Daphnia pulex: one gene and its partners. The protein of the gene in region 1 binds, or shares a complex with, the protein of each later gene. Links are inferred from orthologs where the notes say so. Each region holds a gene or a part of one and is shown in the gene's direction. Other genes may lie near its edges.

Region 1 (7,718 bases):
TTTCGTGAACCGCATCGTTTAGCGTGCCATTTAGCTACACATTATCGGTATGTGTTAAAACATTTGCATTACCTACAGTATACTGGTGAGAGGTAAACATCATTATTTAAACAGCTCCTCGAAGTCACTAGACTGTTCGGCTTGTGGCAAAAGTTTCAAAACTAGTGGAATGTTAAAACTGCATGAAGCCAAGCGTTGCAACAATAAGCTTACTACAGATTTGGAAAGAGATACTGAGGACCAGGGCCTGGAAACTTTGCAGAATGTTGCTTACATAGAAAATATAGATGATGCGCATTTTCTTGATACAGATCACGAGGTATGTAATTGTATCTAATGTAATCTACATTTGGGAAAGAATTTACTAATGTTAAAATTTTCGGTGAAAATACTTAGGTAACCATCATAGAAGCAGAATCTTTAGAAGTCCTCCCTGTAAACACTTATATTGTGGAGCCATCCGGTGTGGGGCCTATGTTAGTACAATTTTCTATTGATCAAGACGATGTTCAAGAAATTCCTTCCTTGGAAGAATCATTAAATTCGTGATGTTCGTAATACATCTCTCCTTTAATTGCCAGTCTTCGCATTGATTTATAGAACCCATTTTGAAATTTGTAAATACACAAAGGACCATATTTTTGTCTTTACTATTTAGTCTCAATGAACCTCCTCAAAACATTATTTGATATGTCTGAAGTCTGAACTTAATTTTAGCTGTACCTTTGGATAATTTTATGTGCTTAAAGTCACTTTGGATTGGTTATTGCGCCTTCGGATCAGAGTGTTCGGACTTTGGATGTTGAATCAGTAGTCCGCCTAGACAGGCACATGGGCAGGCGTAATTTTCAGCAAGACTGGTATTTACGTCTGAGCACCATAGCTATTAGCTACTGCCCTCCTACCACTACCTGTACTCAGGTAGTACTTTCCAGTTTCCACTAATAAAGTCCACTTGGTCTTTATTACCGCTTTTGCGGCTGGCGACTTACGAGTTACCGGAGTTACGAGTTACGACTTTACAGGCTTGCGACTTGCGAGTTGCGACTTGCGAGTGCCGACTTTCGAGGTTTGGCAGGACTGCATGCTTTGTTGCAGACGACGCTCTCTTGATTGTTTTTAGAAAACAGTCAAAACAGTGAAACACTTATTTTCGTTCCTGCTGTTTGGTCACTGGTAAAGTCTTTAACAAAAATGTCATTCTATTTAATTGAATTTTTGAACTAAACAAAATTAATACTAACTTCATATCTTGTATAAAATTTCTTATTATAGGACAGTGCTGCATCATTATTCGGTTGAAAGTTCTGAATGGGCATCAAAACTAGTATAAAAAGGGGTATTTAATCATAATGGAAGTTCTTATAAAAGTTGAAGAAACTGAAATAGTTGATGTTCAAAACGGTCTAATAAACAAAGAGGGAACTGAAGAAAATAAAGAAGCTCAAGAATGTTGCACTAGCAAACCGTTGGTGCATACAGTTGAAAAAGAAACAAAAAATACTGGGCACTCTAGCCGTGATAAACATCTTTGCACCGAGTGTGGAGCGAACTTTGTATCTATGCTAAAGTACATGGACCACCTTAATCGTCATACTGGGAATAAGCCATATGTTTGTGAAGAATGTAACAAACAGTTCTTTACCTTGTCATATTTAAGAAATCATCAAAAACTACACTCTGCTGACTATCAATTCATTTGTGAGTTCTGTGGCAAAGCTTTCAGATTAAAAAATAATCTGCAAATGCACGAACTGACTCACACAAAGGAGAAACCATTTAAGTGTGATCTTTGTGATAAAGGTAATTAACCATTGTGGATCTTAGTTTTTAAATTTACTTACTAATTCATTTTGCGTTTAGCATATACTCACCCAATGAATTTGAAGATACACAAACAAGAACATACAGGTGCGAAACCATTCCAGTGTGAAACTTGCGGTAGATGTTTCCGAACAACACACCGACTTAAAACCCATAAAATGTCTCACACAGGTACGGCTGTCAATTTTTTATAACCAGAGCACATTGCCAAATTGAAATATCTATTATTATAATATGAATTTACAATTTAAACTAGGTGAAAAAGCTTTCAGTTGTCTAAACTGTGAATCAAAATTCACAAGCAATTCTAAAGTAAAAAGACATATGAACCTCCATTGCAAATTTTCCAAAGGAACAAAGCCACCTGCTGGTGATGAAAATGAATAACTATAGACCAGGCTAAATCAATATAAGATTGAATTAAGTGTCAAATGGTGATAATGAAAATAAACTATGAAATATGGCAAGGACTGTGTAAATTTTTCATCCTAACTTTTCTATTTACACAATACTTCTACAAATAAAGAACAATATTTTACTTCTTTAGAACAAGACTTTCCAAAACTGAGTGAACTTTCTCAGCAGACAGGTTCATTACTGGGGCACTTACTTCCAGGCCTTTCTCTATAAATTAAAAAGACAATTAAGGTAATTTTTACTATGAATCCAAATTAGAATATGTAAACCAACCATGTCGGGCACAGATTTTTGGCAGGATACCACTGCATTCCCTGATGAGGATAGGTGTTTTGGGATTGGTTTTCTTCAAGTCGATGTAATGCTTTTCAATGAAATCTCTAAAATGAATAGTAATAACACCATGAAGATGAAGAGTTAAAATGATAAAATTAAGGGAATGACTGAATGAGACTATTCTCTACGATTACACCATGATTATACGTCTACACAGAATAATTCACGTCTTTCACAATAAAAGATTATTCGCATTTTACATTTCATTTAACACACTCTTCATTTACCTAACCCCTTTGCTGGCGTCTGACTTTTGGCAAAGATGAATCCGAATCTCTTTCACATGGGGCAAAATTTTTACTGCTCTAGCGGCTGCCATGTTGGAAAAGTTTTTGCAGACTCGACAACAAAACAAACTCGAGAATCGAGATTCGAGATATCTTGCTCTTGATCCTAGCGGCGAGCAACAAAAGTAAAGAGTTATTTCTTATTTGAAAAGTATTCTGATCCCCGTTTTGTCTTAGATAAATTTATTTTCTCTTTAAATTACCAATTATTAAATAGAAATGAATCCTGGAACAATAGTTTAGTAATACAAAAGTATGAAAGTATAGCAACGTCTAAAATACAGTACAACGCTGACGTTGCTACACGGCCTACGCCTACAGTGACAGTCCGACATTGTTGTGGCGTCTGCTCGTGAACGACGAATCACGAATATTTGATTCTAATTTTTATAGTGACTCGTGATATAATAATATTAGTGGTAGGCTCAATTGTTAAAAAATGAATAGACCTACAGTTCTACCACCTAGCAGTACAAATGATAATGGAGGAGATGAGTTGGAAAATCAGTTTATATTGAGACTCCCACCAACCTTACCAGTGAGTTCTTTGGACACTTGTATTCACATTATTATTGTCTTAAACTGAAATTCTTTAATGTGTTTGTGGTAGGAATGTGCCGAAAGTTTGCGACAAACTCTAAGGACAGGTGTGATGAATCTGAAGGACCGCCTAAATATTAGAATGGATAATGACATGAGGAAAGGACAGGTTCAGTTTGACAATTGGACTATGTCTGCCAAGGTGTTATTCTTAATTAGAGTATTTGATATTCAATTGTAAAACAAATATTTACTTAGGTTTTAGATCTTCCATGTGTCATGGAATCTCAAAAAACCATTGACAATAAAACATTTTACAAAGCCGCTGATGTCAGCCAGGTGAGTAATAATTCAATTCAAATTCTTAGAATATTGATTTTACCTGATATTTAAAATTTGAAGATATTGATTTGTAAAGAAGGAGAACAACAGTCAAGTAGTGAAGAAGAAACTCCTGTTAAACCAAAGAAAAAAGATCCTCATAAGGTCGATAAAAAATTCCTTATGCCTCACGGCATAGCTCCACCAATGAAGAATGTCAGGAAAAGGAGATTTCGAAAAACCCTTAAAAAGAAGTACGTTGAGGCTCCTGAAATCGAAAAAGAAGTCAGGCGCCTACTGCGTGTTGATAATGAAGCGGTAAGTGTACGATGGGAACTGATCACAGAAGAAGATGAATCTAAGGTAAAGGCAGCCAATGAAGCTGGGTTGGGAGATGGGGCAGCAATGACCGTCCCTCTTGCATCCGGAACATTCGTTAGCACACAAAACCGTGGCTTGGGTATGTTTTGTAAAAACCAACGGTTTTCAGCACTCGTTCAAATTGCTTCATACTTCTGTTATCTATAGCCGAACACGATATTTTTGGTGAGGCACTAAGCGACTCAGATGAAGAACATGGAAGCAAGATCAACATTATGGAATCAGACTACGAAAACAGTGACGAATCCCGTGGATCGGGTTCGGAGTTCTATGCAGGAAGCAACAGGGTACCAAATTTAAAATAATTAAATTTGTTTCGATAGTTGTTACATTCTCTTTTTTAGGGGTCCAATTCTATGATAACCCAATTTAGCGGAGATATGTTTCGGGATGACAGCAGTTCTTCTAATCTATCTCCACAAAAAAAGGTCATCGACACACAAAAAGGTAAACATTTCAAATTTGTTTTTCTGCTTTAAAAATTAATATCATTTGTCGTTAAGACGATTTGCAAAAAATGGCTGATAAACTGAGGGATGAAATCCGTGAGATCAAGAACATGAGACAAGCTCAAGAAAACGAGCTAGCTACAATTGAAAACGCCGCCCTCAAGCAAAGATTTCAGATGGCTCTTTCAAAACTTGTTGCTCAGGAACAAGAGAAAAAGGAAGAGGTGATCTCTATTGTGTTGTTTATTATTATTTCAGCTATTTTTAACAAATTGTATTCTAGTATGACCAAATCATGTCCATGTTATAACGGACACCTCTGGATAAAAGCTGAAATGGACCAAACCTCAAGGATAGATAAATCGATGGATCCATCCGCCTTCAGAATGTCTGTCGGGATTGCAATGGCGCCTGTTTTGATCCCTTCCAAAATAGATTGTCGAGTGTCGTTTAGTTGTGCTGCCAATACACGAGCGTCTTTTTCTTCTTTACGTTCGCGTATACATTGGTTTAATCTTTTTCTAAGAACTTTGTCGATATTGTGAAAGATGTTGTGATCGTTGCGTAGTTTGCTTTGCTCGGACGCAAGCTTCTTTTCTTCTAGAGTCTTCAATGTTGAGACAGGACTATCCACAGCATTCTGGATGTAATTCCATATCTTGTTCAATATTTCTGTATCATTTAAATCAATGTGTCCAATCGTCAAAGAATTTTCCCACGCTTCACAGGGATCTTCAAATTTGGTGTTCATTTGAGTGATTACAATGTCAGGAACACGGCTGCTTTGCGGACGACTGTTGTTTTGGAGTAACGCTTCAGACACTTCGCATTTGACATAAATTTGAAGGTAGCCTGTGTAGAATTTGGCCGCTAACTGATGATATTCATACCGCATACTTCGATAGTAGTTGTTATCATCAACAATTACGACACACTTTTTGGAAGAAGGATTGGGCACTTTCAAGAAAGACTCCACAGTGTCTTTCATCTCGCGACGGTAATGCTTTGTTATTTCACTAGATGACGAAACAGCAATTTCAGCCTGTTTTTCTAAACTCACAATAGTATCAAAAGTTGCACAATTCACAATGCAATTGTTTTCTGTTAAAAAACTACATAATCTTCCTGCTAACCAGCTCTTTCCACTGGCAGGCAAACCTAGTAACACCACAATGCAATAACACTGATTCATTTCTGTCCTGTTGGTATGTGTCACTATTTTACACAACTTGAGGCTCTAAAGATGAGGTCTCTTGTGAAACATGTTGAGGCTCAGTTTCTGCTATTATGACTGACTGTGCAACTGTGTTAATTTCAGCAACTTCAGGAATAGTTTCTGCGACTGCTTGTGGTGGGTTAAGTTTCTCCATCTCTTCCACTCGCTTTTGCACAATTAGAGGTTGAACTTCCATATACACAGACATGATTTTATGGTTGACTCTAATGTTCTTCGTTGAGCACATTTCAACACATTTATCCTAAAAAAAAGCAAAAACAAAAAAATAACTATTGGTCTGATATGTTATGAAAGAGAAACCTCATGTTCTTAGCCTACCTCATCTTCAGTCAGCTCTCTAGTCTGAAATGTGTTCACGCATCGCGTGAAACAAGTTTCTGACATTTTGTTGAACACTAAGAGAAAATCTTTAAACTAGGAAGAAGAGATCAATTAACTTTCTGGCATTAATTACAATTCAAATACATTTTCTAAAAACTTACGTTCCTGAGTGCATCCATTTCGAATTACTTTCCACAAATTGACAATTCATGTCGTCTGCAAAACATATGGCTCACCGGGTTGCCACATTAGCCGAAACGTCAACATATCCGTATTTTGTTTAAAAAAATTTAAAAATTAATTTACTTGTTTATCTATTGATTTCGAGTGTAAAATGCTTTATTATAATTCTTCATTTTTCAAATAACATATACATAAATTTGTTAAAAGACGATTATGAGGGCGATGAAAACTGCAAAGGGGAAACGGGATCGTTCCTTGCTTTTGAGGAGAGCTAGCGAAGCATGCATTGACAATAGTAGACCCCGTCAAAAGCAGATGACCCCGGTGTCAATTAAAAATAATTCAAAAAAAAACACGGAAAACTAGGTAGTGGCAAAATATCGCAAAATTCAGAAACTATTCACAAAGTTGCTAATTCTCGTGATGGAAAATCAATCTATAAACTGACCAAAGGAACGAAGCTCATCTCGATAGCCAACATTTACGTTCTCGTTTGAATGGGATAAAATGGTGAAGAATAAGAGCGAGCAAATTATTAGAGCCGCATGGACTTTTGCTTGTTCATGGTATTCAACATCAAGGAGATGTAGGAGGTGAGCAAGTCGTCCATCTTGTAGCCGAGCGAGGTTTCGCACAGCAATTTCGATCCTCGCACCAGGTTGCCGATAGTCATGTGGAAGTAAGTGTTGCCCGAAGACCAGTTGGAGATGCGCGTGAACGGGTGAGTCACCAAAATGTCCTAGAACACGAACAAATGTTAATTCCGAGTTCAAAAAAGAAAGATAATGGCGGGTGTGCGATATTCACCTTAGTCTGTGGATGGATCAGACAGACTCCGCTTTTGTTGATGGCAATCAAAAGCTGTTCGGGGAAATTGGGCTCGGTCGTTTGTTTGACTTCGAAGAAGGCCGAACCAAACGTTGGCCAGCGGTAAATAATCTTTAGAAAGTTGATCTTGGCGTCTTCGGCACTCATTCCTAAAATGTTCAATTCAAAACGATGTGGCGTCAACACCAAATGGAATCAAGTCAATCATTCAATCAAATGTCAAACCTGAATCTTGAGCGTGAGCAGCCGTGATAGTTTTCTTCCAATCATTGTTGCCTAAAAGTTTGATCAGATCGGCCGGGACCAGGTCGCGTAGCATTTGCGGCACGTTGGCCAGCTCGGCTTTGCTCTCGCCGAAGCGGACGCGGTAAATGAAAGCGGCCAGACGGATGGCTTCGTCCTTGTTGCAGCGGTGATAGCCTCTCAGCAGTTTAGGCAACTCTTGGTGGAAATGGAAGATGGTATCGGCGTTGCGGTCTTTGCCCGGCACGGTGTTGGTCCACAGTTTCTTCATGAAAAACACTTGGTAGGTGAATTGAGGCGTGATACCTGTCCAGGCCATAAACATATAATAAAGAAAAAGGGATAACGATA
Region 2 (7,595 bases), on another chromosome or scaffold:
TGTTATAATCAAATCCGGTGATATAAATGTTTAACATCAAATTGAATAAGTTTATACCTTCAAAATTTTCTAAGGAATTGAGATCATGTCGTTCAAGTGAAGAACGCATTTTTGGTGAGTTAAGTTGTTGCTTTTGTTCCATGGCCAAGTCATACGTAAGGCTTGCCACCTTTCGTAACACATTAGATTCTTTTTCTCCAGAAGCTAAAGTTTATGGAGAAAGAGGAAAAAAAAAGAAATATTATTATGAAATGGTTAGATAGTACACATCATTTAAAGTAAAAAATAATTACTGGAAGGATACGGAATTCCGAGATCACTAGGCTCGCGTCTAGTGGCATTTTGAGTGTGACTAAGAATTGCTGTGGCTGGAATTTCCACTTTCTTATGCCTTGTAAGAGTAAATGGTTGTCCATTGTTGGGCACATTAGAAGATCTATTAGCTCCATTATTGTTATGCCCCGATGAGGAGCCTCCATGTCCTCCAAGGTGCATCATATCTGGCATGTCAATTTCAATCTTTGTAGTGCTTGCCTGTATTAGAAAATAACAAGGAAAAATTTGTCAGCCCTTCATTAAACATACAATCTACAAGTTTTAACAAATGACCACAAAATCAAACTTACTGACTTGTTTTTCTCAGCATATATTTTGAAAATATGATATTTTGCTGCTGCAGCGTAGTAGAATAACAGACTGGGGACTTCGAGGGAGAGATAATTTAGCTGTCCTCTAGCAAGATGTTGATGTGGAGTTACTTGGGCGCAGGAACTCTTCTCATGCTTGGCAAAAAACTTCTTGTCAAACTGCTGGAAATTGTCCTTGATTTGTAACTGTTCTATTTCATTTGACCTTGAACACAGTTCTGTTGCATATGATGAAGTATCAGCATCCAATTCAATATTATCACTTGTCGGTTGTTCAAAACCACTTGACAATGAAACAGTTCCAGCATTTTCAAATTCTGAGACTTCTCTTAAACTGCAAGTTTCGGTATTGCTGTCCAATGGAAGATCAGGTACATTAATGCTATCCGATGTCTCGGAAACGATCAGCAGATTTTCATCACACGTCCAGGTGTGGTGATGAGCGATGTCTTGGTAACTGGACGGATCTTCTTCAGGCTCGTCCACATCAGCATAGAGAGTTTCTGATGTTAACGACTTCCCTATAACTATAACTTTGGACAATCGTTGAGGTGAAAAATTCTGTTCTTGTTGATCTCTTGTCCTGTCATCCGACAGTGTAGACGACGAACCACTGTTGTTTGGAACCTCATTTTGGAAAGGTGGGTTTGGTCCTTTTTCGGTTTCGGTTCCACCATTTTCGGTTCCAACCCGCGGATTCGAAATAAGCCGCCCCTTGGATTTTTGACTAGAACTACTTTTGTTGCCCATTGCTGCGGAGTCGGAGCTGCTGCGATTTCGGAAAAACGGAGAATTCTCTAATTCAGAGTTAGCCGATTTATCTTCGGGAATCGACGAGCTGCAACTTTCAAAGTCGCCCAAGTCGCTCAAGTCATCAACCAAGTTTCCATTCCAATCTTCCTGCTGCGTCCACAATATAGAAAATAATGTCACATTATTTTAAAAAATTTATGAATTCTACCTTAGCGTAGCGGGACTGATCGTCGAGCGTCAGAGGTTGATCGTTTATTAGCAACAAGGGCAAATCGTTTGACAAGCCAACGTTAAGGGCTTCGATGGTGCCTTCCGGATTACGATCATCTCCGTATCCATTATTTTCGTCGTTCCTTTGTTTATCTAATAAATCAATATTAACTGGAAACGCTTGTTGTTGATCAGATAGTGCCGCGTCTTGCAGCACTGGTTCCGGATAGCTAGATTGGCTGTTGGCCTCCACTCGAGCCGCACTAAATGCGTCAAAACTGTACGTAGTTCTAAACGATGTATTAGAACGATCCGAGTCAGATTCTAGCTGCTGTCCGTCTGGAGATCGATGAGAGGGGTTCGGACTGCTGCAATGAGGAGTGATTGGAGATAAAGTCGATTGAGTAAGTGAGTTTCGTTGTTTGGCCTAATTTAAACCAAAATTGAAACATGACGTTTGCTCTTGACGTGTGTTATTTACAGTATAGTAACTAGGGTAACAACTCACTTTGAAGGCGTTGGTTCGAACAAGGCGAGGCAGTTCGGAGTCGGGATCGATTGACGAAATGGAAAGGAGACGGGGACCTGCAGCGAGCTCCGATTGATCCGAGGTAGACAGATGACGGCCGAGTTTATTCAAACGCTGTCCAAATTCTTTGACGCCACGAACTTTTTCCACAAACAAGCTCTTCAACGCTAGAGCTTTAGTGTGTTTGTTGGTGATCAACGACAACTGGTCAGCCGACGTAGCTCTCTTCGTGGAACTGCAGCTCGGCGATTGCGCACTGCCGTTGCCGCTGCTGCAGCTGCTCTCGTTATCTGGCTCACAATAGTCGTTGGTTGCCATAGCGACCTTAGGATCCCTGTGTACATGGGCACAGTAATATCCCTTCCCGATCACCTGGAAATAAGAAAATAAGGGCTAGACAAGAATTTTATTACACGTGGTCGGCAGATTCCACTTCCTAATTTTTGTTCTCATTCTCTCAACCATTACAATGTTACGACCAATAACGAGACGAAAGCTTTTTATGTGTGATTTCTCATCCGATAGAGCGTACGATTACTAAATCGGCGTGTCTCCTACACATGATGATAATGACATTCCAGTCCAACAACAAAATAAAACTTACGTCACGTCGGTCAATACGACGTACGGGAGGCCAATTCTTGTCAGAGGCAACAGGTAGAAATGAGACTGGAGCCTTTTTAACACATAGACACACACAAGTCACAATACAGAGACTGAGTTTGACACGACCTAAGTAGTTCGCCCTGATGGCAAGCTCTTCCCGCCCGCTACTGACGAGATTTTGTGTAATATAAGAGGAAGGGTTTTTAATCCAGTAGAGGGCGATCAGAGAGCATGCATACAAGTAACAAAGAGAGAAAGATAAATGAAAGATAACCTTGCCTAGGCTCGCGCGCCGTAGCCAGACAAATATAGCAAATAAATAAAGAGGAAGCGGAAAGGGGGGAGAGAATGAGGGGAGAACTCACTTACGTACTATGTTGTGCTATTTCCTCATTTTCAAATAAAGGTGTGGGATATTTGAATTGTCGTTTCCTTTTTTCTTTATCCACTATAGCTTTATGAAAGACTCATGATATTTCTATATCGCGCATTTTTCTGGTATAGTCTTCATAAATGAAAATAATTGCGTCACTAGGTCTACACATGTCCAAAATGTAATTTTACATCCAACAGGTATCCAACTTCCAACTACCTATAAATGCGGGCGATGTGGCCTGAACGCGCGATGCCGGCGATGCGCCAGCCGCCAAGCCCGCCAGGCGGCCAGGCCGGCCGGGCCTAATTTTGTAACCGAAACACTGAGAAGAGGCTTCATTAAAACTTGTTGTTTACATCGAGTAGTGTTCTCTTCCTTCCAGTTGTTAATTCCACTTTTTTTTAAAGATTAGATAGAATAGAATCTCATGCAAAATGGAAGATAAAGAAGGTGAACCGTAGAATTTCATTTGTTATAAAAAAATTGTGGTGGCTAAAATATCTAAATTGTGATTGCAGAGCGCATTGAAACTCCGTTAGTGGCGATTGTGATTGATGCTACTCCTGCCAAAAAATTCGCAAGTCAAGCAATAATTGATAATGGATCTACAATGATGAATAGAATTTTTGATGCCTTGATTGGATTTGGAAATGCCCACTTGATGCAAGGCTCTCACAACAAACTGGCAGTCATTGCCTGCAACAGCAAGTCTACGTAAGTGATTTAAAAAATTTTATCTTACAAGACTTATTCATAAGACAATGACCATCTTATATATTTTTTTAATAGAAAGTTTTTGTACCCTTCCGAAAATGGGAATTCTAAATCCTACCATAACCGACCTGGGCAGTATGACATGTTTGCAAAAGTTGATTCCGATATTCGTCATGGCCTTTCAGAGCTAATCTTGAAAGATTCAATTGACCATGATTCTACTACATCAGACTCATTATTAGGGGGAGCTATGGCTCGTGCTCTGTGCCACATTCATAAAGTTCAAAGGGAACTTAGTTTGAGTCATCAGTTAAAACCACGCATACTTGTTGTTAGTGGCAGTTCTGACAGTGCTTTGCAGTACATGACCTTTATGAATGTGTTCTTCACAGCTCAGAAAGAGGTAATATGCTTACTTTAAAATCAATATTTTTTAAGAAAATAGTAAGAATGTTTCTCTTTTACAGAATGTTGTGATTGACTGTTGCATGATGGATACTGATTCTGGATTACTACAACAAGGCTGTGACATAACTGGAGGGCAATACTTACGAATTCCTACTGTTGTTGGATTACTGGAGTATTTGCTGTGGGTTTTCCTTCCAGGTCCATCTTGTAGATCCAAAATTGTCTTGCCACCTCCTACAAAAGTTGATTACAGAGCAGCTTGCTTCTGCCACCACAAACTAGTTGATATTGGATGGGTCTGCTCTGTTTGTCTTTCAAGTAAGTTAATGGTTTTTATCATTACTCTTCACTTTCAGTAACTTATTGCTTGTTTCTAGTTTTCTGCAAATTCAGCATTCTTTGTACCACATGTAACACAGAATTCAAACTTAATAGACCTGCAATCGTACCCTCCAAACCGAAGAAGCGTCCTCGAATGGAATAAATGGAAGATACAGTGAAAAATTAATTATTGCCCAAAAAGCTCTGACTGAAGCTCAATTTAGCACTTTGCTGTAAATTTCCGTGGCATACAAAAAGAAATTGTTTTGTACATGACCATTCAATGTTTCTTGGGTTTCTCTTTAGTCTCTACTGGTCTCTACTCTATACTCTCTAGTCTCTACTCTTTATGAAGAAAGAAAAAAAATTAAGACTAAAAAGACTGATTGTTATAACTATACTTTTCTTAGTGGCAGAGATATTGTTAGGTTAGTTCGATTGTTAGGTTATCTCTGATTTAAAATTTCGATTTTTTTAGAAAAAATTAACAATTTAAAAAAAAAATGAAAATTTTTAACAAAATGAAAATGTAGCTTTACTTCACCAAATTTTGAATAGCTTTTCGTCTGCTAGGTATCTTGAAAAGAGACAAGGCAAGGTTAACTATATAAGAGTTTTCAAAAGAATAATAATTTAGATTACGTACCGTTAATTTCCGGATGTTTACAAATAATTTGAGATTGGTTTCACGTTACATATACGCTCGCACAATGACCAACGCAGCGTTAGCCGCTAGAAACAGAATCGTATGGATGGATCTAGAGGTGAATTGGTTTCCAAGGAACAAGTCAAAAATTAGTTTTTTATAAGCTAATTTTCTTTATAGATGACGGGGTTGGACGACACCAAGGACCACATTCTTGAAGCTGCTTGTCTTATCACTGATCAAGACTTGAACATTGTTGCTGAAGGTCCTAACATCATCATTAATCAACCTGATAGCATCTTAGATGGAATGGTTATATCTATTATATTATATTATTCTTATATATTATATTATATATTCTATCTTATAATATAGGGAGAGTGGTGTAAAAAAACACATGGAGAGGTTTCAAATAATTCATTCAATACTGTTTATCCAAATCATAACACTTACTTTCTTTCAGTCTGGGTTAACAGAAGCATGTAGAAATAGTAATATCAGTGTTGAAGAAGCTCAAGAAAAGCTTGTTGATTTTATTGGTCGTTATACTAACCCCGGAGAATGCCCGCTGGCTGGGAATTCCATTGGTGAAGATAAAAGATTTCTGTACAAGTACATGCCCAAACTCATAAACCATCTGCACTACCGGATAATAGATGTTTCAACCATCAAGGAATTGGGAAGGTAATAAATTAATTTAAACTTTTTTTTTTAAATCATTAGCAAAATACATCTGGAATTAGGAGGTGGTATCCAGATGTTTTGAAAAATGCTCCCCCAAAATCCTTAACTCATAGAGCCATGGATGACATAAAAGAAAGTCTGATGGAACTGAGCTTCTACAAAGCAAATATTTTCAAATGAAAACACATTATTTATGTAACAGTCTACTACCTTTATTCACACCCACCCACAAATCAAACTGTAAATACAATGCAGTTATTGGATTGCATGTACTGTGTTCAAAGGGATGTCAAATATAATGCTAATGAAACAGCAGCTGCAAGGACAACATACCCTGTGCTTTGAATTCCCTTAATTGTGAGGTTGAAACCAGTATCCCACACAAGGTGTCTCATTCCATTAATCAGGTGATAGGAAAATGGAAAAGCAATGAGAAACTTCCCAGCCAATACAATAAGTGGAAGGTGTGCAGCTTCCAACATTCCCAAATAATGTGGAAATGATGCAGGCAATACCATGGCACCTATCAGATTACAAATAAAGCATATTAAAACATATTTATTGATGTAAAGATTGATTGATGAAATTACCAATAGCTAGACCATACATCAGTCCATTTTGTGCAAGACCAGTAAAACGATGTGTAATGGACAAAGCCATATTAGACTGGAATTGGTAAATAGATAGATGGGGAGAAATTGGCCGTTGCAACCTCTTATTCTTATCTTCAAAATTTTCATTTGAAAGGGGTTTAGCACGATTAGCTTCGACGCTTTTAATTCCGAACGTAGAGGCTGACACAGTGTGTTGCCTGCAGCAATTAATAAGGGGAAACGTTAAAATATGTTAAATCATCCTTCACCAAAACATCTACCATGATTTGACCGGAGCTGCTGTGAGTAGCCGGGTTTGGGTAGTATTTTTTAAGATGGTACTAATAAAAACAAAATTAAAAACATATTTAGAAAAAAACTGGTTCTAGATATTAGGAAAGTTTTAAAAAATTGTTTTATATTTTATTTCTACCGTAAAAGCGCCATATTTGTTATTGCACAGCAGTAGCGAATACTGATTTCGTTCGCGAGGTTGACGGATCAAATTTATGGCAATAGTTTCAATTACTTAACAGTTTTCAAATTTTTTATTCTAACATAAGAAAAACTTGAAAAAAACAACAATTTTCATATCCTTTTCAAATTCTGTAAATAATAAGTGGATAATAAGAAAATTGGTCGTACGCGTCGTACGTGTACGTCCCTCTCCCTTTTCCAACCCATGCCCAACCTTTAGAATGCTTGGGGCGTTTCCTACTGCCTTCCCAATGCTAAAGCATAGTTTTTATCCTAAAATTTAACTTTTTACTCAGCTAACATTAGTTAAAGAGAAATATTTCAAAACTGGTAAGTGAACTTTGTGTAGCGGTTTTCATTCTAACAGAAATTTATATGTAAAAAAAAGTATTTTGAAACGGATTGTTGTTTTGAATGCTCAAAATAGAACAAATTTCGCTAGTCTCCCTTGAGATGGGCAACGGTATATATTTTGGAAGTTTTCCTCTGAAAAGTACTCTGGTTTCCAATCAACACCCGGATAAATCTTTCGCCTTTTACTAAAGATTTCCGTGGTTGGGAGCAATTGATGAGTCTATATGACTAATTTTTCGAAAGCCTGGTCTTCTGACCGGGCATCCTAACAAATAAA
Region 3 (7,072 bases), on another chromosome or scaffold:
AACATTTTGTGTTTATCTCAGACTACATAGTCTGTTATCCCACTTTGTTTATGTGTTAATTTGGAATAATTTCCTTGATGAGTGGTAAACTCATTTCTTTTACTCATGATTAATTATCTTTTCAGATTTGTAAAAGCTACTGGTTTAGTTTACAAAGCCACACAATGCGTGCCCAGTGTTCTGTCTGTCAGGAGCTCTTTGGTGACTCTGATGTCGTCATGGCTCCACAATGTGGTCACACATTTCACAACACTTGCATCACACAATGGCTTGGGTAACACCTTTAATACAGTTTTCTTGTTGATATCCTTAACATCTTTTTCCTTAAATGTACAGTACCAAGAAATCTTGTCCAACCTGTCGTCAAACCACGTCTAATGAAAAACTAGGCAGAATCTTCTTTGATATTGCTTTCTCTGTTGAAGTGGACTCTGCAGATCTTCAACAAAAGCTGGATGAAATGTCCCTGGAATTTCAAGTTGTACAAAGAGAACTGAGAGAAGTTAGGCAAGAGAATGTTACTCTAAAGAAAAAATCTAACAAGTACTGTAAAGAAAAAAAGGAAAGTGCAGAAAAAGTTCGTGAGTCGGAAACCGTCATAAGCAACCTCCAACAGAGAGTCGATTTCCTGAATAAGCAAGTTAAGTCTTTCGCCATCGTAGAAGAAGAGCTGCAGACTTGTAAAGGAAAGCTTAAACTGATGGAAAATGTTCAACAAATTGTGACTGCTACTCATGACGAAGTAAAAGAAATGCTGGAGCAATATGGTGATCACTCAGAAACGGCCAAATCCTTGAGCACGCAATGTGTGATTTTAAGCAGGTACTGAATAATATCAGCCAACATTCAAAGCTTTGTTTCAAAGTTTATTTTCCCATAGGGAGCTGAATACTAAAGTACAACTAAAGCAGAAAGCCGACGAAGAGTTAAGAAAATGTCGACGACTCCTAAGCACTTTCCGCCTTGAACTCCAGCAAACCAAGAAGGAATTGAAGGAGAAAGAAGAGCAATCCAGCTTGGCAGAAGAGGATATTAAAAGATATACTACAGAAAATGCAAAACTGCAAGAAAAGCTTAAGGCCCTTACGGAGTCGATCTCATCGCCGAGTGGTGATCCTCGCAACTCTGCGCTGTCTCGTCTAATCAATGAGAGTCCTGCGCCGACTAACCTTCGAATGTCTAATCTTCTCATGACAACGCCATCGTCACCTTCTACTCCATTAGTTCCGCTTAGAATGAAACCTTCGAACGTTCCTTCGTCTAGATTGATGTTGTCATCGCAAAATATTTCGAGCATGCAGCCCAAACTTAGCAATCCTGAACAAGAAGAAGCAGCTTCCAGTACTCAGCGAAAGGAGGCTCGCAAAGCTAGCAGTTCATCCGCATCCGTTGATGGTGAATCCCTGAAGTTTAAAAAAATGAAAGTCGATCCAGTACCGTCAACTAGTGGTTATTTCTATGATGGATTTGGAGGTCACGCAAAACCCGAAATTTACCCAAAAGGTGCCGGTTCCTCCAGTTCATCACTTTCAGGCACTAAAAAGAAGAGAGGACCAGTTACAATGAAAATTAAAGGTAAAAACTGTTAATCATTACTGAAATAGGATATTTAACGACGTTTTTTCTTTACAGGTAAAACGCAGACCACGACCTTAGATTACTTTTACTCTCAATAATATAAATTGAAGATGTTAATTTGCTGCTAATAGTCTATCCGTCAGATGTCCAATACAAATTATATTTTGTACAGATTGTCTTAAAATATATAACTGGCGTAATAAAAAACAAATTGGTCTTTTTTGTATCCTTGTAGATTTAAGTAATCTGCTGCATGAAGCCATGAACAACAATAGTCGGCTTTTTTTGGCAAAACAATTCTATAAGTCTTATGATTTAGTTATAAATTATATTACATTAATTATAAATTTAGGTAATAGATGAAAAGGTAGAATCAAGATTTGTATTTAGAACATTTTGTTTTACACAAAACTTAATCCTCGCGAATTTGAGAAACTACTTTTCGGCCTGGTCCTTGCGGTACTTGGCGACAATCAACTGCTTAGCAGTGCTCAGATTGCGTGCGCGCGATTTCTTCATGTTCCTCAAAAACTTGCGATCGACCTGCAAATGAGGAGAAACATTAAAACTTCAATCTCAACTAACATTGGTTAAACACATACATGGCACGAAAAGTTCACGTCAAGTAACTTAGAATGAAATTTATGGATTTCAGTGAACAGTAATCAATATGGGCTTGATTTTTAAAGCAACAAGGAACTACAAAGAACCTTCAAAAGTATACTAAATAACCAATTCTAGTCAATTTGACAAATGTTCCAAGTAACTAAAGAAACAAAAATCTTACTCCTTTGTTGGATGGGCACTTGTGAGCCTGGGATTTCTTGATGCCATTACGATGATGTTTACGGTCTGTAAATGAGGAAACGTTAAAACGTGTCTCCAAATATATAATTTATAAACTTACTCTGGTTGTGATTTGTGTGATTCTTGGATTTGGCCATTGTATATAGCTGGTGTGGCTAGATAATCCTGTTTAGAAAAATAGGAAGTTTACTATTTACGAACACGGAAAAACTCACAAATGTCGTCTATATAATGCTTTAATTAAACAGAACATTTTTGTAAAACTATATTATGGTAAAATCCAGATGAAAGACGATAAAAACTCACTAGGACGACGACGACTTACAAGTTCAGAACCAAATGAAAGAATTGACGGCGAGTGAATCTGACGAAGCTTTCAGGTGCCGCCGCTGCACCAATCCTAGCGACTGTTTAGCAACGACCAACGACTGTACTGCTAGTTTTGTTGCATTGTCAACAAAACCATTCAACAAATATTATAATTCAATAAAAAATCATTTCTTCTATAAACCACAACACCGAGAATGACTACTACTGTTTCAGAACCCATCATGTCTGGAGCAGCTTCTAGGTAAAACATTTAATATACGTGTGGTGAAAAACAACTTTTAAAAGACTAAAATACTGACAAGGATACTCAATCTTTTTTTTCCATGTTACAGTATTTGATGTCAGATTTAGACAGACCTTAATAATTAGGTGTTTTACACAAATGTAATTTATCTTAAATATTTGTAGAAGGAAACTGCTTCAGGCCAGTGTGAGTTGTTTGTGTAGTGAGGCAGGCTTCAGTGCAGTAGATGAATTGTCATTGGAGACCCTTACCGAGATGATGCAGAGCTGTAAGCATTTCTATCTATCAAAGTAATCATATTTGTTAAAAACCTTATTTATTTATTTTCTTTCTACAGTTCTGACTGAACTTGGTCATAGTAGCCGTCTTTACTGTGAATTATCTGCAAGAGTGGTATGGGTTATCTAAATTCTTCTCTGAGTTATAGGGTATAATCAGTAGTCAAGTTATATGTTTTAATTTTAGGAACCTGTTGTAGGAGATGTTGTTATGGCCTTGGTTTCAATGGGAATTAAGCACAACTCTTTGGAATCATATGCTCAAAGAGCAAGAAGGCTAGTTTTACCAACTCCTACTCAAGCTGTTGCAACCAAACAAATTGGAATTTTACAAACTGGTCAAAAGAGACCACATCCAAGTCATATCCCAGATCATTTGCCAGCATTTCCAGATTCACATGCATATGTTCAAACACCAGTATGTTGTTTTCCATATTTGTCATACATTATATTTTTTAATAATTATTGTTTTTTAAGACTCACAAACAACCTATTACGGACTACGAAACTATTCGAGAAAAGGCATCCTGTCAAAAGCGAGATGTGGAGAGAGCACTGACGCGCTTTGTCGCTAAAACAGGGGAAACGCAGAGTTTCTTTTTGGTCGAAGATTTGACGCATTATCCCCGTAAGTAGAGGACGAAAAAAATAGTAATGTATACCTTTTTCATTTAAATATATTCTTTGTGTCCTAGTTATTGCATGTAAGCCAATGGATAAACCGTTTTTGTCCGCCCTTCTCCCTCGCGATCAAACTTTTGAAGAAGACGAGGCAGCCGTCCACATGCAAAAGCAAGAAGAAGCAAATGCTGAAGCCATTAAAGCCGCCAAGTTGGATCAGGAGAAAGAGAACAATGAAATGATGGATAACCTTGGACCTAATGGCTCACTGATGGAAATGTCAAATTCAGAACCATTTATCATGGAAAATCCATTCATCAGACCAGTTAAAATGCCTTTTTCAAAGAAAAAGAGCTCCCCATAACCACAATCCATATTGTTAAATTTAGTTTATTTTTCGTACTATTTGTGTATCAGCTGTCATCTCATTTTTTCCATAAATGTGAATATGAATCTTGATCAAATGTGTCTTCAATTTCCTCTTCAATCTTGACCTTTTTCTTTGGCTTCCTTTGGGCCAGTCGTTTTTGCTTCTCAGCTTCAGATAGCATACTCAAGTCCAGAGGCAGCTGTTAATGGAAGTAAAACAAACATTACGTCCATACTTATTAAAAATAAAAATAAATTTGCCTTTATTATTGCGCGAGGTTCATTATAATGTACGGTTATTGTAGAACCGTCAGGTTGTACAAGCAAAGTTGGGTATGTTCTCACGTAGATAGATCGTCCAATACTACCGATTGACGCTCTATGAGCATTTAATTGCCTGGTCTGAATAACTAGAGGTATGGCCAATCTAAATATATTATAAAGTATTATAGTGAGTGCCTCCACGTGACCGATAAAGTTTTTATTACCTAAATTTCGTTAAATATCGTGACATTTTCACAAAGTTGTTGAGTACCACTTGCAGACGACTTTGTAAAATGGAAAAATAAGACACCTAGCGATAAGAAAATAAAGCTATATCCCGCACTTAAGTAGGGTAATTTTCAGTTTTTGGTTATTATATACAATGCTGTTACGGCATAAGGGGAATTGTTTAAAAATTTTAATCATTTTAAATGTAATAGGATAAATCTATTTGTATGCACTGTAATGAAGGAACAATTGAAATTAAATTAAATGATTGATTGAAGCTGAAATCGGAGCTTGTGGTTAGAAAATATCAAATTTTCAACTATTGAGATACGCGATAAACATATCTTTGCAGTTGTTGCGTTATACATGCAATATGCTCCTTCGTACGTTTGGTATGTTGTACAATTTATTAGACGTATTATTACATACAACCTGTCATTTACGATTCATCAAGCAAACAACAACTGCCACAAGTAAAAGAGGAGGGTTGATTGCCAACGTCGTAATTCGTAAACGAAAGTCTCGCGCGTCTTTTGGTCCTGGCAAACCGATCGGCCGGATGACGCAAATCGGAGAAGGTCGAACCAAGAACTTTTCTTGGTCACTAGTGGCCAACCACTTCATGCATAGCATAGTCCGGTTTAGCGCTTCTGGCCGTGGAGTTCACCTACTGACGCTCCAAGAATAAATTTCCACCTTCTTATCAATTTTAATATTCGTCAAGAGAAGCAATGAAAATCTAATTTGACAAAACCAATCACAAAGGTCTGCGTTTGTAAAGATGTTTGGGAAACTTGGTGATCTGGGTACTTCAAAGCACGTCAATTCGTGACGTCAATTCCAACAAATTTAAATGGGAAAAAGTCCTCATGCAGGACATAACATGGTTGCTTGAAATAATAGAAGCTGAAAAACAAAAAACAGTTTTATCTTAGAAGCCGACAGCTCAAACAAAGGCTGTCAAGGAACCATTTGATGCGAATGAAGGATTGACTGAAATTAAAATTCAGATGTCTCCTTTCTCACAGCAGTCTAAAACGCTAAACCAGGAACCCGGACTATAGCCAGCACGAGCGTAGAAAGTTGTACCTTTGCAACACATGCATTCGTCAGTCGTCACTGATGGATTATTGACAGGGGAATGACTCGGAGAATGATTCAATGATTCGCAAACGAGCCGGCAGCTGCCGGTTGCCACAGGTGATCTGTCAACCTGTCCAAAGTACTTGATTCGATTTGATTTTTTCTCTTTGCGGGGAATTAAATTGATGAAATCATACCTTTAGAGAAGAATAGTACGCACTGGGGAATATTCATGATTCATTGCAGCGTGGAGATGACGATTCGTCGCACTTCCTGATAGGGAACCTCATCTGTCCGTTTCGGATTTCATTCCAGCGGCTCACAACCGCAACACAACTGCCATTCGCATTAAGAGAAATCGTGAGCTGCAGCCAGATTTAAGGGTTATCTTCGGTCTCCCAATTTTCGCCTTTTATGTGCTAGTTGGTTTATCTCAGGCATTTCGTTTTTTTCTTCTTCTTTTCCTTGAAAATGATTTAGGTTAAACATCATGACGGTTCCTTGTTATTCAACTCGAGAATTGGCATCGTAATCAAACAGGGAATTGCACGCGAGTCCCAGCCCACGACCAACTGACAGCACACAAAGTAATGGCATATCTGCGAGCTTGTAATGTCGGCAAAAGGGAATCTAGCCACAAACAAACAAGAGGTAGTAGTATATGTATATTTGCCAAAAGGCGGTATATATATTTTGGCTCGTGACTTTTGTAGCTGCTGGTCCTGTGCACCAGCACGCAGGACTCTCCTCGAAATCTATCCATCACCAACCGGCTCTACGAACACGACGAGACTAGAATACTTGGCCGATTGACACGTAAGCGAAGGCCGGCCGTAATGTAGTGGGCGACCAGGACACTTGCTCAAATTGAAAAAAAAATAATAATAAAAGGAAAATCTACACACATAGCGAACGGTCTATGGCAATGAATTATTTAGGGAATTCGCGGAATTCTTCATGAGCTGCAGTACACAACGTGACGACTGGAACCTACACACACAATACACACGCTCCCAAGGTGATTGGGTGCGTCCCGTGAAAACGGCGCTTTTTTTTAAAGGACATCATTTGTTAATTGATCTTATTGACGGAGAGTCTCGAGTATCCAGGCTCACGACAGACTTGAAAGGCCATATCCAACATTGATATATACTCGAAGGTGAAATATTATCAGCTAATAAGGCCAGACAAAGGAGAGAGACTAGCACTCACTATGCGTGCTAGCCCGGAGCTGTGTGTGTACCAAAAGTCGGTTTTGAAAGATTAGCAT

Evidence for each region. The genes of interacting proteins can lie anywhere in the genome.
Region 2: transcription initiation factor TFIID subunit 7-like (region 1) and general transcription factor IIH subunit 3-like share a complex: the UniProt entries of both Homo sapiens proteins name them as parts of the TFIID-containing RNA polymerase II pre-initiation complex. The link is inferred for Daphnia pulex from reciprocal best matches to the Homo sapiens genes TAF7 and GTF2H3.
Region 3: transcription initiation factor TFIID subunit 7-like (region 1) and transcription initiation factor TFIID subunit 8-like share a complex: the UniProt entries of both Homo sapiens proteins name them as parts of the TFIID basal transcription factor complex. The link is inferred for Daphnia pulex from reciprocal best matches to the Homo sapiens genes TAF7 and TAF8.

Annotation. Positions count from the first base shown.
Region 1 is NC_060022.1:1,979,690-1,987,407, reverse strand, and holds transcription initiation factor TFIID subunit 7-like, read left to right. Parts: upstream 1-3,179; 5' UTR 3,180-3,303; coding exon 3,304-3,402; intron 3,403-3,474; coding exon 3,475-3,606; intron 3,607-3,662; coding exon 3,663-3,743; intron 3,744-3,806; coding exon 3,807-4,185; intron 4,186-4,253; coding exon 4,254-4,393; intron 4,394-4,450; coding exon 4,451-4,553; intron 4,554-4,609; coding exon 4,610-4,779; intron 4,780-4,780; exon of another isoform or gene 4,781-4,838; coding exon 4,839-4,865; downstream 4,866-7,718. Other genes in the region: putative zinc finger protein 66, read left to right, coding at 1-47, 115-319, 397-548, 750-921, 1,329-1,803, 1,864-1,995, 2,081-2,211; NADH dehydrogenase [ubiquinone] 1 alpha subcomplex subunit 2-like, read right to left, coding at 2,360-2,448, 2,515-2,621, 2,805-2,896; L-seryl-tRNA(Sec) kinase-like, read right to left, coding at 4,860-5,747; mitochondrial import inner membrane translocase subunit Tim10 B-like, read right to left, coding at 5,776-6,033, 6,111-6,206, 6,275-6,292; myosin-VIIa-like, read right to left, coding at 6,832-7,035, 7,104-7,273, 7,350-7,673. UniProt on the Homo sapiens protein: The TFIID basal transcription factor complex plays a major role in the initiation of RNA polymerase II (Pol II)-dependent transcription.
Region 2 is NC_060021.1:11,068,639-11,076,233, reverse strand, and holds general transcription factor IIH subunit 3-like, read left to right. Parts: upstream 1-3,420; 5' UTR 3,421-3,555; coding exon 3,556-3,571; intron 3,572-3,639; coding exon 3,640-3,835; intron 3,836-3,910; coding exon 3,911-4,238; intron 4,239-4,302; coding exon 4,303-4,561; intron 4,562-4,620; coding exon 4,621-4,727; 3' UTR 4,728-4,840; downstream 4,841-7,595. Other genes in the region: uncharacterized protein LOC124194693, read right to left, coding at 58-204, 294-534, 627-1,550, 1,609-2,037, 2,119-2,457; oligoribonuclease, mitochondrial-like, read left to right, coding at 5,224-5,328, 5,391-5,522, 5,586-5,615, 5,674-5,894, 5,954-6,074; succinate dehydrogenase cytochrome b560 subunit, mitochondrial-like, read right to left, coding at 6,173-6,417, 6,485-6,705, 6,769-6,828, 6,921-6,934. UniProt on the Homo sapiens protein: Component of the general transcription and DNA repair factor IIH (TFIIH) core complex, which is involved in general and transcription-coupled nucleotide excision repair (NER) of damaged DNA and, when complexed to CAK, in RNA transcription by RNA polymerase II.
Region 3 is NC_060020.1:5,723,192-5,730,263, forward strand, and holds transcription initiation factor TFIID subunit 8-like, read left to right. Parts: upstream 1-2,794; 5' UTR 2,795-2,909; coding exon 2,910-2,956; intron 2,957-3,123; coding exon 3,124-3,227; intron 3,228-3,296; coding exon 3,297-3,352; intron 3,353-3,424; coding exon 3,425-3,655; intron 3,656-3,714; coding exon 3,715-3,865; intron 3,866-3,932; coding exon 3,933-4,222; 3' UTR 4,223-4,317; downstream 4,318-7,072. Other genes in the region: E3 ubiquitin-protein ligase TRAIP-like, read left to right, coding at 165-274, 337-822, 881-1,575, 1,633-1,676. UniProt on the Homo sapiens protein: The TFIID basal transcription factor complex plays a major role in the initiation of RNA polymerase II (Pol II)-dependent transcription.